Saccharomyces cerevisiae S288C: one gene and its partner. The gene in region 2 interacts genetically with the main gene of each other region. Each region holds a gene or a part of one and is shown on either strand. Other genes may lie near its edges.

Region 1 (6,649 bases), on a different chromosome or scaffold from region 2:
TAAAGCAAATCTGTACGAATAAAGGCTTTTTTCATATTTTATTTGCCTCAATGAAATAAATCGTCTCTTCTCTGGTTCCATAAGGGCATTTTGTTCCTTATTTCTTGCAAAAGCTCACGATCCAAATCAGCGAGAATTAGTTGTGGTCCAACAGTAGAGGGATCGGCATGCGCTATTATTTTACCCCAAGGATCAATGACCATTGAGTGTCCCCAAGATTCTCTCCTGGAGCTTTTTTCGAGAGCGCTCATATGTGATTGTTTCTCCCACTCTGGATCACTGAGATCGTGCATTCCAACCTGCCCTGGCATGAGCACATAGCATTGAGTGTCAACCGCTCTTGCTCTGCCTAGTAACTCCCAATGTGCTTCCCCTGTTTTAATAGTGAACGCACTGGGAAAACATAAGATTTCAGCCCCCATTGATCGTAATTTCAAAGAAAATTCGGGAAAGCGAATATCATAACAAATGGCACTGCCCAATTTTCCCAATGGAGACTCTATAATGTCAGGAATGGCTTTGCCAGGCTGGACAGATTTTGATTCTTTCAATATCGGTCCATTTGGCACGTCTACGTCAAACAAATGCAGTTTTTGGTATTCTTGCAATATTTTCCCTTCATGATCGATATATAATAGAACGTTTCTGACTCGATCATTGCCTTCAAGTAAATCTTGTTCTGAGGGCGGCAAGTGTACCCCAATGGAAACATCTATATTCCGTGAATTATCTCTGACAAGGTCGGTAATGCTTGACTGTAATTGCCGAATAAATTTGGGGCTTTTCTGTGCCAAATACCTGGAATGAAGAGGGTTTTGAGAAAGATAGTCACTTGCCTCAGGGAGAAAAACGACATCCGCCTTTTTTTGAATGGCTTCAGATATCAATTCTTTTACCACTTTTAAGTTTTTGGTCAGGTCAGCGGATGAACATAATTGTGCGACAGCAACCCGTTTTAATTTACTAGTCATTTGCGGTGTTATATTTTATGAAGGAGACTTCATGATGGGTATGAATTTTATTTCACCTCTATTCATTTACTTCTAATGGCCTAGAATCTAGTAAGCTCTGAAAATTCGAGATGCGGATCGTGAGCTAAAATAATAAAAAAATGAAAAATATAAAAGAGCAAAATTCATTACATTGGCGTTAGTTCACTGCTCGGGGGATGAGTAAAAAGTGTACCGATCAAGAACAACTCTAGACTTCCGCCAAAGTGATTATCAACAAAAATCGTAATAATTAGCTTCAATGCTAAATCAGCACACAAGTTCAGTACCGGATGACGAACATCTGCAGATGGCACACCAAAATAGCAGTTCAGAAGTGAGAAATGAGGCAGCGGTCCCAGATCAACTTTTGACTCCTTTACAACCGTATACCATTTTATTGAAAGATGGAGAAACAATAGCTACGATGTATCCTATACCTGCGTATCCTGATTTATTGCCGCTAGGGCTCTTAAATTTCCTTCTAGATGAATTTAACATGGAAGTGGAAAAGGGAGATAGTTTTCCTTATTACGAGACTTTATCACTAGAAGAATTCAAAAATGTCTGGTTTCATAATGATGGTCACGTTTGTATTATGGTGTTAGGCGAAATACCAGAACTGGATTATAGTATGGATACTGAAGCGGACACAAATGATAATTTTGGAACAGAAATAGAAACCACGAAGCACACCACCCAATATAAGAAACGAAAAGAACGTCGCAATTTAAATCTAAGTATGCAGTGGGAGAAGCAATGTCTAGGCATATTTGACCTCAAACCAGCATACCCTGGACGGTCAGCGCATGTGGTCACAGGAACATTTCTGGTCAATGCTGGTATTCGTGGAAAAGGTATTGGGAAAACACTAATGGAAACATTCATAGAATGGTCAAAGAAATTAGGATTTACGTCCTCCTTTTTCCCGTTAATTTACGGAACGAACGTAGGAATCAGAAGAATTTTGGAAGGATTGAACTTTAGGCGGATTGGAAAGCTGCCTGAAGCCGGGATTCTCAAGGGCTTTGATGTCCCAGTAGATTCTTTCATGTATGGTAAAGAGTTCACACATATTACGAAAAGTATAGATTTGTTACGAGATCCTCAAAAGAGTATCGAAATTGGGAAATATGAACGATTAAAGCATTTTCTGGAAACAGGCAAGTATCCTTTACATTGTGATAGAAACGAAAAGGCTAGATTAAGAGTACTTTCCAAAACTCATTCGGTATTGAATGGCAAGTTGATGACAAAAGGAAAAGAAATCATTTATGACACGGATCAACAAATCCAGATTGCATTAGAGATACATTTAATGGAACATTTAGGCATCAACAAGGTGACCTCCAAAATTGGTGAAAAATACCATTGGAGAGGAATCAAGAGTACTGTTTCGGAGGTAATCTCTCGGTGCCAAAAATGCAAGATGAGGTACAAAGACGGGACAGGGGTAATAATTGAACAAAAGAGAGCAGTTAAGCAGGCGCATATGCTACCGACGCAGCATATAGAAACTATCAACAATCCAAGAAAAAGCAAGAAGCATGATAATGCGTTATTGGGACAGGCAATAAATTTCCCTCAAAATATTATTTCCAGTACGCTGAATGATGTGGAGGGTGAACCCACTCCGCCAGACACTAATATCGTACAACCCACATTCCAGAACGCCACGAATAGTCCCGCAACAACAGCTGAAGCCAACGAAGCGAATAAAAGATCCGAGTTTCTTTCCTCAATACAGAGCACGCCACTATTGGACGACGAACAGTCAATGAATTCCTTCAATAGATTCGTGGAGGAAGAAAACTCAAGAAAAAGACGAAAATACTTGGATGTTGCCTCCAACGGAATTGTACCCCATTTAACGAATAACGAATCGCAGGATCACGCGAACCCCGTCAACCGTGATGAACGAGATATGAACCATTCAGTTCCCGATTTAGATAGAAATGACCATACTATAATGAACGATGCTATGTTGAGCCTCGAAGATAACGTCATGGCCGCTCTAGAAATGGTCCAAAAGGAACAACAACAGAAGATAAATCATCGAGGTGAAGATGTGACTGGCCAACAAATCGATTTGAACAACAGTGAAGGTAATGAGAATTCAGTCACTAAGATTGTTAACAACGAATCTAATACATTTACAGAGCACAATTCTAATATTTATTATTAAATTGCGACTCTGCCAGAGACGGTCACATCACCAACCCTAGAAACTATAAAGTTTGTACAGAAAAAAGGTACATTTAATGATGCGTCCACTTTTGGAACAGGGTTGACAAGTCTTAAATCTTATTTCAGAAGTGATTTTTGAAGTAAAATTGGAAACTGAAATTGGAAACAAGGCACTCAACTCAATTATGCTTGCATGACGAAAGGTTCTGTTACAGTTTTACGTTGAAACCTAGGTACTGCAGAAATCCATAATCGGAGATAAATAACTAAGCTTTGTGCTGCAAAATTTTCCAGATTAGGAAACCTGATCCTCAGTGCCCTTTTAAGTACTGCTGTATCTGATGCCGTGAACGAGACACTATTGGCTGCGTGGGCACGTACCAAGTATACTCATCAAAATTTGTCTTAGGTTTTCCGATGCGGAAAATGGCAGCGCACAATTTAAATAGAAAAGGAGTTAAATGTACAGCAGCAAAATCAGTCACTCACGGAGAAAAGCTACGGTAGCGTAACGAAGAGCACATTGCTACTAGCAGCCAGCTAGATAATTGCAGCAGTGTACAGTTTACGCGACAATAAAGAAAGCATGATTTTCTTTTTCAACCAGATCCGTTCAATATTTACAGCTTTGCATACGCCAACTCAACAGATCCAATTATCAAGAAGGGCCTTTTTCCAATTCTTAGGCTATTTGGGTAGTTGTGTTGTGATTTCATTAGCAGCTCAATCGAAATACGTGCAGTAAGAAATGAAATAATGACCTGCAACAGTCCTTCTTGAGATGGAATGAAGTAATTGCTCTTTGAACGAGAGCACAAAAGCAAGCAGAAGTCGCGTATGTCAAGCCCATGATATAGCTGCTTAGATATATAGGTAGATATAAATAAGCACAATGGCTACAGTAATTGTGCGGTGCAGGGAGGCAATGTTTAGTGCATCTCCTCTACATCATTTCTATTTTTAATCTCGTCCACGAGAACGATTTAAGGAAATGGGGCTTCAAAAATAAAAAAATCAAATGAAAGTAATAATCTTTCAGCTTAGACTTATTTTTAGTTGAAACACTTGAATAAGAGTGCAGACACTCAATCGTGGTGTAGCTACAAGAACATATGGTGGCGTGTTTCTGCTGCAACTGTCAAGATCGTCTGTGTCTTAATGAGGTGATATATAGAACTGCTGAATACGGAGCCGTTTGTCTTTTACTGCGGGATTAACTTCAACAGCTACGGCCGAAGCCAATTCTGGCAAAAGGCAATGACTAAGTCTTGTTTCTCATGTAGATTACTATTTTGAGCGTGTTGCTTTTCTGTTCCCCTTGAGCATAGCAGCAGGCACGGAAGCATACAGAATATTCACTAACATGAGAACAACTCATTACTAGACTACTACCAGTTACTACACATCGATACAACTCCCCAGAAATATCACTGTTGAGAGTTCATGTCAAGACGTAGTATAGTATTGCAACAGGAAAAAAAAATCTTATTGCGTAGCACTCTGTATCTATTTTATATATCTGTTTCTATATTTGATTAATCTCTTGTTATCTTGGTGATGATCGCACAAGTATGTACTCCTGTATCTGCAAGAATATCTGTTTTAAACTTTTCAAAGCAAGGAAACCCCGTCTTATATAGGTTATCCGCAAAGGTCACATTTTCTTGCAAATAGAAGAAAAAGCACCCACAAGCACACTAACACAGTGCCAGAGCAAAACTATATCCTTTGCATCCGATCTCAAACGCTGTTCTTATCGCATCTGTCTTCGTCCTTTCATCTGCATTTACCTTTTCTTTTTCATCCTCTATTTGCCTTTTCATTAGTGGCAATTTTTCCAGTTTTTTCCCTCTGCGTCCCGTTGCACCTGAAAGGATCTTTCTAACGTGTGTTGTCTACTAGTGAGCGATTTCGTGAGCCATACACGTTCTATAGAAAATTGAATAAACTTTACTTCAAAGGGATCTGGACACAGAGATAACTGCTTACCTGCTTGCCGGAAGAAAAGAATTACTAAAAAAGAAGACAAGGGTAGCTGCTATTGTGGGTACACGTTTCACAGAACTACTTTTTCCTTGTCCTTCTCCAGACATCAACGTCATACAACTAAAACTGATAAAGTACCCGTTTTTCCGTACATTTCTATAGATACATTATTATATTAAGCAGATCGAGACGTTAATTTCTCAAAGATGGAAGACAAGTTTGCTAACCTCAGTCTCCATGAGAAAACTGGTAAGTCATCTATCCAATTAAACGAGCAAACAGGCTCAGATAATGGCTCTGCTGTCAAGAGAACATCTTCGACGTCCTCGCACTACAATAACATCAACGCTGACCTTCATGCTCGTGTAAAAGCTTTTCAAGAACAACGTGCATTGAAAAGGTCTGCCAGCGTGGGCAGTAATCAAAGCGAGCAAGACAAAGGCAGTTCACAATCACCTAAACATATTCAGCAGATTGTTAATAAGCCATTGCCGCCTCTTCCCGTAGCAGGAAGTTCTAAGGTTTCACAAAGAATGAGTAGCCAAGTCGTGCAAGCGTCCTCCAAGAGCACTCTTAAGAACGTTCTGGACAATCAAGAAACACAAAACATTACCGACGTAAATATTAACATCGATACAACCAAAATTACCGCCACAACAATTGGTGTAAATACTGGCCTACCTGCTACTGACATTACGCCGTCAGTTTCTAATACTGCATCAGCAACACATAAGGCGCAATTGCTGAATCCTAACAGAAGGGCACCAAGAAGGCCGCTTTCTACCCAGCACCCTACAAGACCAAATGTTGCCCCGCATAAGGCCCCTGCTATAATCAACACACCAAAACAAAGTTTAAGTGCCCGTCGAGGGCTCAAATTACCACCAGGAGGAATGTCATTAAAAATGCCCACTAAAACAGCTCAACAGCCGCAGCAGTTTGCCCCAAGCCCTTCAAACAAAAAACATATAGAAACCTTATCAAACAGCAAAGTTGTTGAAGGGAAAAGATCGAATCCGGGTTCTTTGATAAATGGTGTGCAAAGCACATCCACCTCATCAAGTACCGAAGGCCCACATGACACTGTAGGCACTACACCCAGAACTGGAAACAGCAACAACTCTTCAAATTCTGGTAGTAGTGGTGGTGGTGGTCTTTTCGCAAATTTCTCGAAATACGTGGATATCAAATCCGGCTCTTTGAATTTTGCAGGCAAACTATCGCTATCCTCTAAAGGAATAGATTTCAGCAATGGTTCTAGTTCGAGAATTACATTGGACGAACTAGAATTTTTGGATGAACTGGGTCATGGTAACTATGGTAACGTCTCAAAGGTACTGCATAAGCCCACAAATGTTATTATGGCGACGAAGGAAGTCCGTTTGGAGCTAGATGAGGCTAAATTTAGACAAATTTTAATGGAACTAGAAGTTTTGCATAAATGCAATTCTCCCTATATTGTGGATTTTTATGGTGCATTCTTTATT
Region 2 (7,163 bases):
GTTGATGGGGTAGAGAGAAGCACTGAAACTGGTGTCCTCAAAGAAACTGGTGTTTTCAAAGAAACCCCATCTAGATGATATTAACTACCCATTCTCTATACACCGGGCATCAGTCAAGATAGTGACGATTTGCTGTATGTTAAGCTAAACTATGATTCTCCCTTGAGAAACCACTTGAAATGTTATCCGCAGCGGTTTATTTGAGAAGCATGGCCAGACAAATACAGAAGAAGGGTAGCAGTTAATCTAAACCTGATGCCCACAAAGCGTTTCAGTTCTCTAAACAACAGGAAACTGCGATTAATATTACTATTATTCATTTCTGCCTTTGTACTATGACCGATACACTCAACCGGCGAAAAGTGGAACTTGAGAATTGATGTCTTCATCTTATTATAGGTATTTTATGTCACGTACGGTTTTCAAAATTTGTCATGCGTATTCTTTTTTTACCACTGATTTATGCCATTATCTACTATGAGTAAAATTTTAAAAGGTACAGTGTGTATTCTGGTTGAATTTGCTGCGTACTTCTTACCTTTCGACTACCATTCCATTAAGCGGTGTCAAGATTATTTAAACCTTCGTCGCGAATCTCGATAGCGGCTTTCTGTGAAAGATATATTTCAAAAGTGAATGCAATTGCTACATTGACCAATGCAATGGCGATATCTAATATAATAAGTTGCAATAACATTTGAAAAACATTACCTTTTCGAAAAATCAACTGAACTAACCAAATTAAAACTGTCAAAACCGTATATGCAAGGAAAAATACCAACCATAACGCACATGTAAATTTCTTGGGGTGTCTTTTCTTAAAACTTAAAAGGTGATAGTTTATATTCGAGTACATTGGAGGTTGACCCATTTCTTGAGTTCTGTATGCTCTTTCCCCCCATATCAGAAACCATCCAATGGAAACAAACGCCGCATACATAAAAGTAACTATATCAGCTAAAATTGGCTTATCAGTAAATATTGAATGCTTATACAATATGTGCTCCGGAGTGAATGAGCTTTTTGTAATTGCAATAAAGAAAAGAACTCGGCAGAGCTTGTCATACTTCGATTCCGAACTTGAACCCCTAGCACTAGGGGATACATCGCTAATCCTTTCATTTGCATGAGCTGTCATACTACAACTTTTCAAAAGTATATGATACTACCAAGGGGAAAAAAAAAATAAATGGTGATCTGTATACTATACTTGATAGCAGTCTGCTTGTTGTTTAAGGAAGCGCCTTTATCTCCAATTTGTCTAGTGTTTCCAAATCAACGGTGAAAAAAATCTCGTATGAAGTCCAACACAGGCAGTGGAGTTTTCTCCAAAAGAAATTGTAAAAAACGTATACAGTATTCATTGTTGGTATATATGTTATGCGTTTTGTTGAAATGAAACTCTAAAATTGAGATGTGGGTGAATTTTTAGATAATTGTTGGGATTCCATTGTTGATAAAGGCTATAATATCATGTATACAGAGTATACTCGAAGCTCTCCTCGGCGGTATGGGAATCCTCAAAATAAAATCGAAATTTCTATATACCAATATTACGATTATTCCTCATTCCGTTTTATATGTTTGATTATCCTATTACATTATCAATCCTTGCACTTTAGCTTCCTCTAACTTCGATGGGCAGCTTCTCATAACTTATGTCATCATCTAACACCGTATATGATAATATATTGATTGTAGAGCATGTGGATTTTGATGTAATTGTTGGGATTCCATTGTGATTAAGGCTATAATATTAGGTATGTAGATATACTAGAAGTTCTCCTCGAGGATTTAGGAATCCATAAAAGGGAATCTGCAATTCTACACAATTCTATAAATATTATTATCATCATTTTATATGTTAATATTCATTGATCCTATTACATTATCAATCCTTGCGTTTCAGCTTCCACTAATTTAGATGACTATTTCTCATCATTTACGTCATCTTCTAACACCGTATATGATAATATACTAGTAACGTAAATACTAGTTAGTAGATGATAGTTGATTTTTATTCCAACATTGATAGTATAACTGAGAAATGGGTGAATGTTGAGATAATTGTTGGGATTCCATTGTTGATAAAGGCTATAATATTAGGTATACAGAATATACTAGAAGTTCTCCTCGAGGATATAGGAATCCTCAAAATGGAATCTATATTTCTACATACTAATATTACGATTATTCCTCATTCCGTTTTATATGTTTATATTCATTGATCCTATTACATTATCAATCCTTGCGTTTCAGCTTCCACTAATTTAGATGACTATTTCTCATCATTTGCGTCATCTTCTAACACCGTATATGATAATATACTAGTAATGTAAATACTAGTTAGTAGATGATAGTTGATTTCTATTCCAACATACCACCCATAATGTAATAGATCTAATGAATCCATTTGTTAGTTAATAGTTTAAATGTTTTTATCGGAAGAGGTTTTGTCATCACATCAGCAATGTTCTTCTTGGTCTCGATGTAGTATACGTATAAATTATTACCTGATACTTCATCTCTAAGTCTCATTGCCTTTGTGCCAAAAAATCTGTTTCTAAATTTCTCTTCATTTGTAGACTTAATTATACTGATCGTTGATCTACTATCAGTAAGTAAGCCTTTAATAATTGGTTTCTTGTTAAGTTCTTGTATCAGGTAACTTAGATTATTTAATAATGGGACAGATTCACTTATCGCGTGTATTTCTGCTTCCGTAGTTGAAGTACATGTTAATGAAGCCTTGGTGGACTTTCCTCCAATTACCTTTCCATTAAGTAAATATATGTTGCCAATTTGTGATTTATAATACGGTTGGTTGCCATACGAAGCATCACTTATTGCGACTAGTTTATTATCTGGCTCGGTAGGTTTGTTTTTGTGCCATATCAGTTGTTTATCTCTAGTGTCCCACATGAATTGTATCAACTCATATGTCATGTCTAAAACTTGCCTAGAGGGGAATAGTATATGTTGAGCAAGTGTGTTGATGTAGTATAGTAAGTCAAATCTAAATTTATATCCAACATATGAAGCTAGACCAATCAACTTTTGCATTTCATGTACCTTCTCTTTGTATTCATCTTCATCTATTTCTAGTTCATCCTGGTCTATATAAAGACCTGGTTGACCTGGAGCGCTAAGTTTTCTTCCTTTTGGATTCAAAGGTACGTTTAATTTGGGTATTTTCTCAGTTAATGAGTTTTCCATACCTAATTTCATGTATTTACCTCTTTGATATTTGATTTCTAAGCCAAGTATGTCGTACTGAATTTCGTTATCACTTTCACCCAGATTTATTATCTTTGTATCGTATTGTTTCTTGAGTGTTGTTATGATTTTCTTATTTGCATTTAAGTCTTTGCTGAATAAAATCATGTCGTCAACAAATAAACATATTGTTACTTGACTATTCTTAAATACGCATGACCATCCACGAACTTCTTCCATACCACACTGTTTTATCAGGTATGATTTGATAGTTTCGTACCAGTTCGCTCCACTTTGTTTCAATCCATAAAGTGATTTCTTCAAACGTATCAACTTATCATTCATTCCTAAATGTGGTGGAGGTCTTATGTATAATTCTTCTTTGATGTCTGCATACAAATATGCCGAAGATATGTCTAATTGTGTAATATAGTAGTTATTGTCTAATGCAAGTGACAGGGATGTCATTAATGCATAGTGATGTACGGTATTGGATTGCATGCCTGAGTCGTAAGTGTCAGGATGCTGAATATCACCTCTTGCAACAAATCTAGCTTTATGAGTACCGTCACGTTTCTTGTTGAAGATAAACATTGAGTTTATTACTCTTTTAGGGTCTATTTCTTTTCTGTCATAATATTCGTCAGTGTCCCAAGTTTTCATCTTCAACAGTTGATTGACTTCTTTGTGGTATGCCTCGATATATTTTTCTTTTTCTTTAATATCTTTATTATAGGTGATTGCCTCATCGTATCGTAAGGTTGTCCGTATTGGTTTGATTGATTTTACTGCTTTTACAGCTGCAATCAGGTGAATTCGTTTCTTCGATCTCGGAGGTTCTAAACTACGCATATTCTTAGTATTCCATGTGTCTCGTGATACCTTAATTTCAGTTTCATTATCTTCTAATGATCTTTTCTTACTGTTGATAGTAGTATAGGCATTAGAGTCACCAATACCACCCAAACTGGAATTAGTTTGACGAGAATTTATCGGTGGGAGTTCTTTAAATGGGTCAGGGAATTCGGTAGGAGATTCTGGAGGTAGATCAGGGAGTGGGAGATCAGCGATGATAGATTCCTCGGTATTCTGTTCAGAAACAGTAGTTGGCGTTTTGATAGGAACAATATTGTGCGATGAATTATTTTCCGGTGGAGAAGCATCGATTGAAGGTGAACGGTGTATAATCCTTTTCTCAGTCTCTTGGTCACTTATCTGCGGAACAGTTTTGTTGTTGGTACCACCCGTACTGGATATTGGTACGTTTGTATGATTAGTCTCATTTTCACTGTACGAGTCTGAGTGTCTGAAATCTTTAGATTTACTGGCGTGCGACGACTCATGTGTGTTAGATTGGGACATGGGAGCAAGTAAAGGAACATTTAATTTATGCATACCACCCGAACCGGTACTCTCGATATTGGAAATTTGGGGGGTGCTAGATCTCTTCTTTGATGGAAGAATATTAGATTCAGATATGTTGGGGTCAACTTCTCTGGGTGCGCGAATATTGGTTTTAGAAACACGTTTCGAATCTTCAGTATGAGTTGACGGAGGTGTGGAATCGGTTGGACTCACAGCTTTTGAAAGGACATTTCTCGGTTGCTCAGGATGTAGTTCAATGTCGGATTGGAAGTCATGGTCAGATTCTATGTTAAGATCATTGGATTCTTGGATCTCATTTGACGCAATGAACGAATGATATGAAGCAGTTAAACGGTTTAAGTCTTCATCGAAAGTGAGTGCGTCGTAATTGAATTGATCTAATCTGGATTCCTTGCCCTGAAGAATAACATAGTTAGTTGTATCTACTGTCTTCTTTAAGGATGGAAGATAGATGATATATCCATAAGAGTTTCGAGACGGATGTAGAGCGTAGCCTGGGATGCCACGAGGATGTATTTTGGAGTTAGGGTTGTGATCATTGACGATAACAGGTTGACCGAAAGGTAACAAAGTACTGATATCAAGTCCTGCCAAGCCAGCATGTTGTCTTGCAGATTTTTTGCTTTTAGGTGAAGCTAGTGAATTTCTCACAATAGTAGAAAATTCGATTGCAGAGAACCATAAATGGTTCGGTAAACCACTACATTGCAGTTGAGTACGGCAGTCATCTAATAAGGTACGGTTGAGCCGTTCAGCGACTCCATGTGCTCGGGAATCCGCTGTGGTTGTATAGCATGGAGTTATACCATTTTTTTCAAGGAATTTATGGAGAGTTCTGTTAGTATACTCAGAACCACGGTCCATTTGTATAACCAAGACACTGGCCTGAAACTGGTTCTTAATAAAAGCTAGTATCGTAGTAAAAACATCGAGGATAGAGTCCTCGCGACGGTCGTGTAATGGATAAACCCAACGGAATTTTGTTGTCTCATCAGTAAATGAGATGAAATAGGATGGTGCACTATTTGGTAGGTTGTGAACTGGACCAAATATGTCAGTATGTAGGTATTGAAAGGGTTCGTATGAATTTTGGTATTTTAGTCGTGAACCTTTGATATGTCTGTGTTTGGTGCTTTTGCCGATTAAACAATCAGGACATTGATAGTCAATAGCACTAGACCAGTCGACATCTGATTCGTTAAAATACGTGATGGTGTTATTTTTAAGTGAGTATCGAATTGTCTGTGCATTGGCATGCGCAAGCATTCGATGAATGAAAGGATAAGGATATTTGCGTGTACTTTCACTTGTATGGACATTATTGATGGTGGGTACGGAGATATTTGATGGAAGCAAGTACTTTTTAGATACCCAGTAAAAGTCTCCATATTTTACGATAGGTGCAAGTACAGTGCCGTCAGATCGTTCTAAGACGTTTTTGGTAAAGCATGCTGTGATATCTACTGCAGCCAATTCATTCAAACTGAGTAAGTCATAGGCTATGTTAGGAGTGTGCAATACCTTTATTGATGTTTTGGTGTTGTCCTGGAAGTGAAATTGTAGGTCACCAATAGCGTTAATTGGTATATTTCTTTTTTGAGCATCAACTACGTTTATGTCAGGATTAGATGATGCTGAGTGTATGTGATGAGCAGATCTTATAAGGGTTCGTGATGCTCCTGAATCGAGAAGGAGGTGTCCAGGGAGTTCATCATCAGAATGATTAGTGTGATTTACCGTAGATTCAGTAAGTTCCTGGCCTAAGGTGAAGGTCGTGCTTATTGTTCAATTGAATCGGTTCAGTAGTTGATTTACTGATGGAATCGTTGTCCGTGCTGGGAGAGTTATTAGATGTGGATACATTGTGAGCCCTGGCTGTTTTCGATTTCGAATTATTTGTTTTTTGAGGATTCCGAGCTATAACTTTGGGTTTGGTTGTATTCGTATAGCTGCGAGAATCATTCTTCTCATCACTCAGATTTCTCCTGTAATTAGGTTTGCTGTTTCTCGATCCCTGTTGTTCTTCATAAATAGCATGGATATCTAAGAACAGTTCAGCGACTGTCATATTTAGATGTCGATGACGTGTGTAGCGTAAAAATTTATATTCGCCAGATAGACCTCTCATAATTAATTGGCATGCGACCTTGTTATTGATATGAATGCCATTATTGTTCAGTCTGTCGATAATGTTTGTGACTTTTGTTTCAAATGCATCTGCAGGTGTACTGCCATTATATTGCAAATTTGCCAGGGTCACAATGTCGTTTGCCTCTTGGGTATCAGATTGCATTTTTTCAATACTTTTGGAAAGAATTTTCATGATATCCGTATAATCAACGGATAGGATGTCTTTGACCCAGGTAGGTAGGAATTGAGAGGGAGCAAATATTTGAAAAGTGTTATACAAGAAGGTGAGTTCATCATCAGTGATCTGACGTACGGGTTTTCCGTTTACTGTCGGAATAATACCACCGAGATTCGAGTTTTGTAAAAATTTGATGTATGTTTTAACCCAATTTGGAAAGTCATTAGGTGAGGTTAACATTGGTGGTGGTCTG

The links.
Region 1: mutations in YPL257W (region 2) and MCO6 together harm fitness more than expected from each alone (negative genetic interaction), as found in Saccharomyces cerevisiae (one large-scale study listed by BioGRID).

Annotation. Positions count from the first base shown.
Region 1 is NC_001142.9:178,823-185,471, reverse strand, and holds MCO6 (Mco6p), read left to right. Parts: upstream 1-3,762; coding exon 3,763-3,921; downstream 3,922-6,649. Other genes in the region: NIT2 (putative hydrolase), read right to left, coding at 48-971; SPT10 (Spt10p), read left to right, coding at 1,252-3,174; mitogen-activated protein kinase kinase PBS2, read left to right, coding at 5,369-6,649. UniProt on the Saccharomyces cerevisiae protein: Mediates the formation of endoplasmic reticulum (ER)-mitochondria encounter structure (ERMES) foci, thereby contributing to the formation of ER-mitochondrial contact sites.
Region 2 is NC_001148.4:57,254-64,416, reverse strand, and holds YPL257W (uncharacterized protein), read right to left. Parts: upstream 1,139-7,163; coding exon 557-1,138; downstream 1-556. Other genes in the region: YPL257W-A (gag protein), read right to left, coding at 6,347-7,163.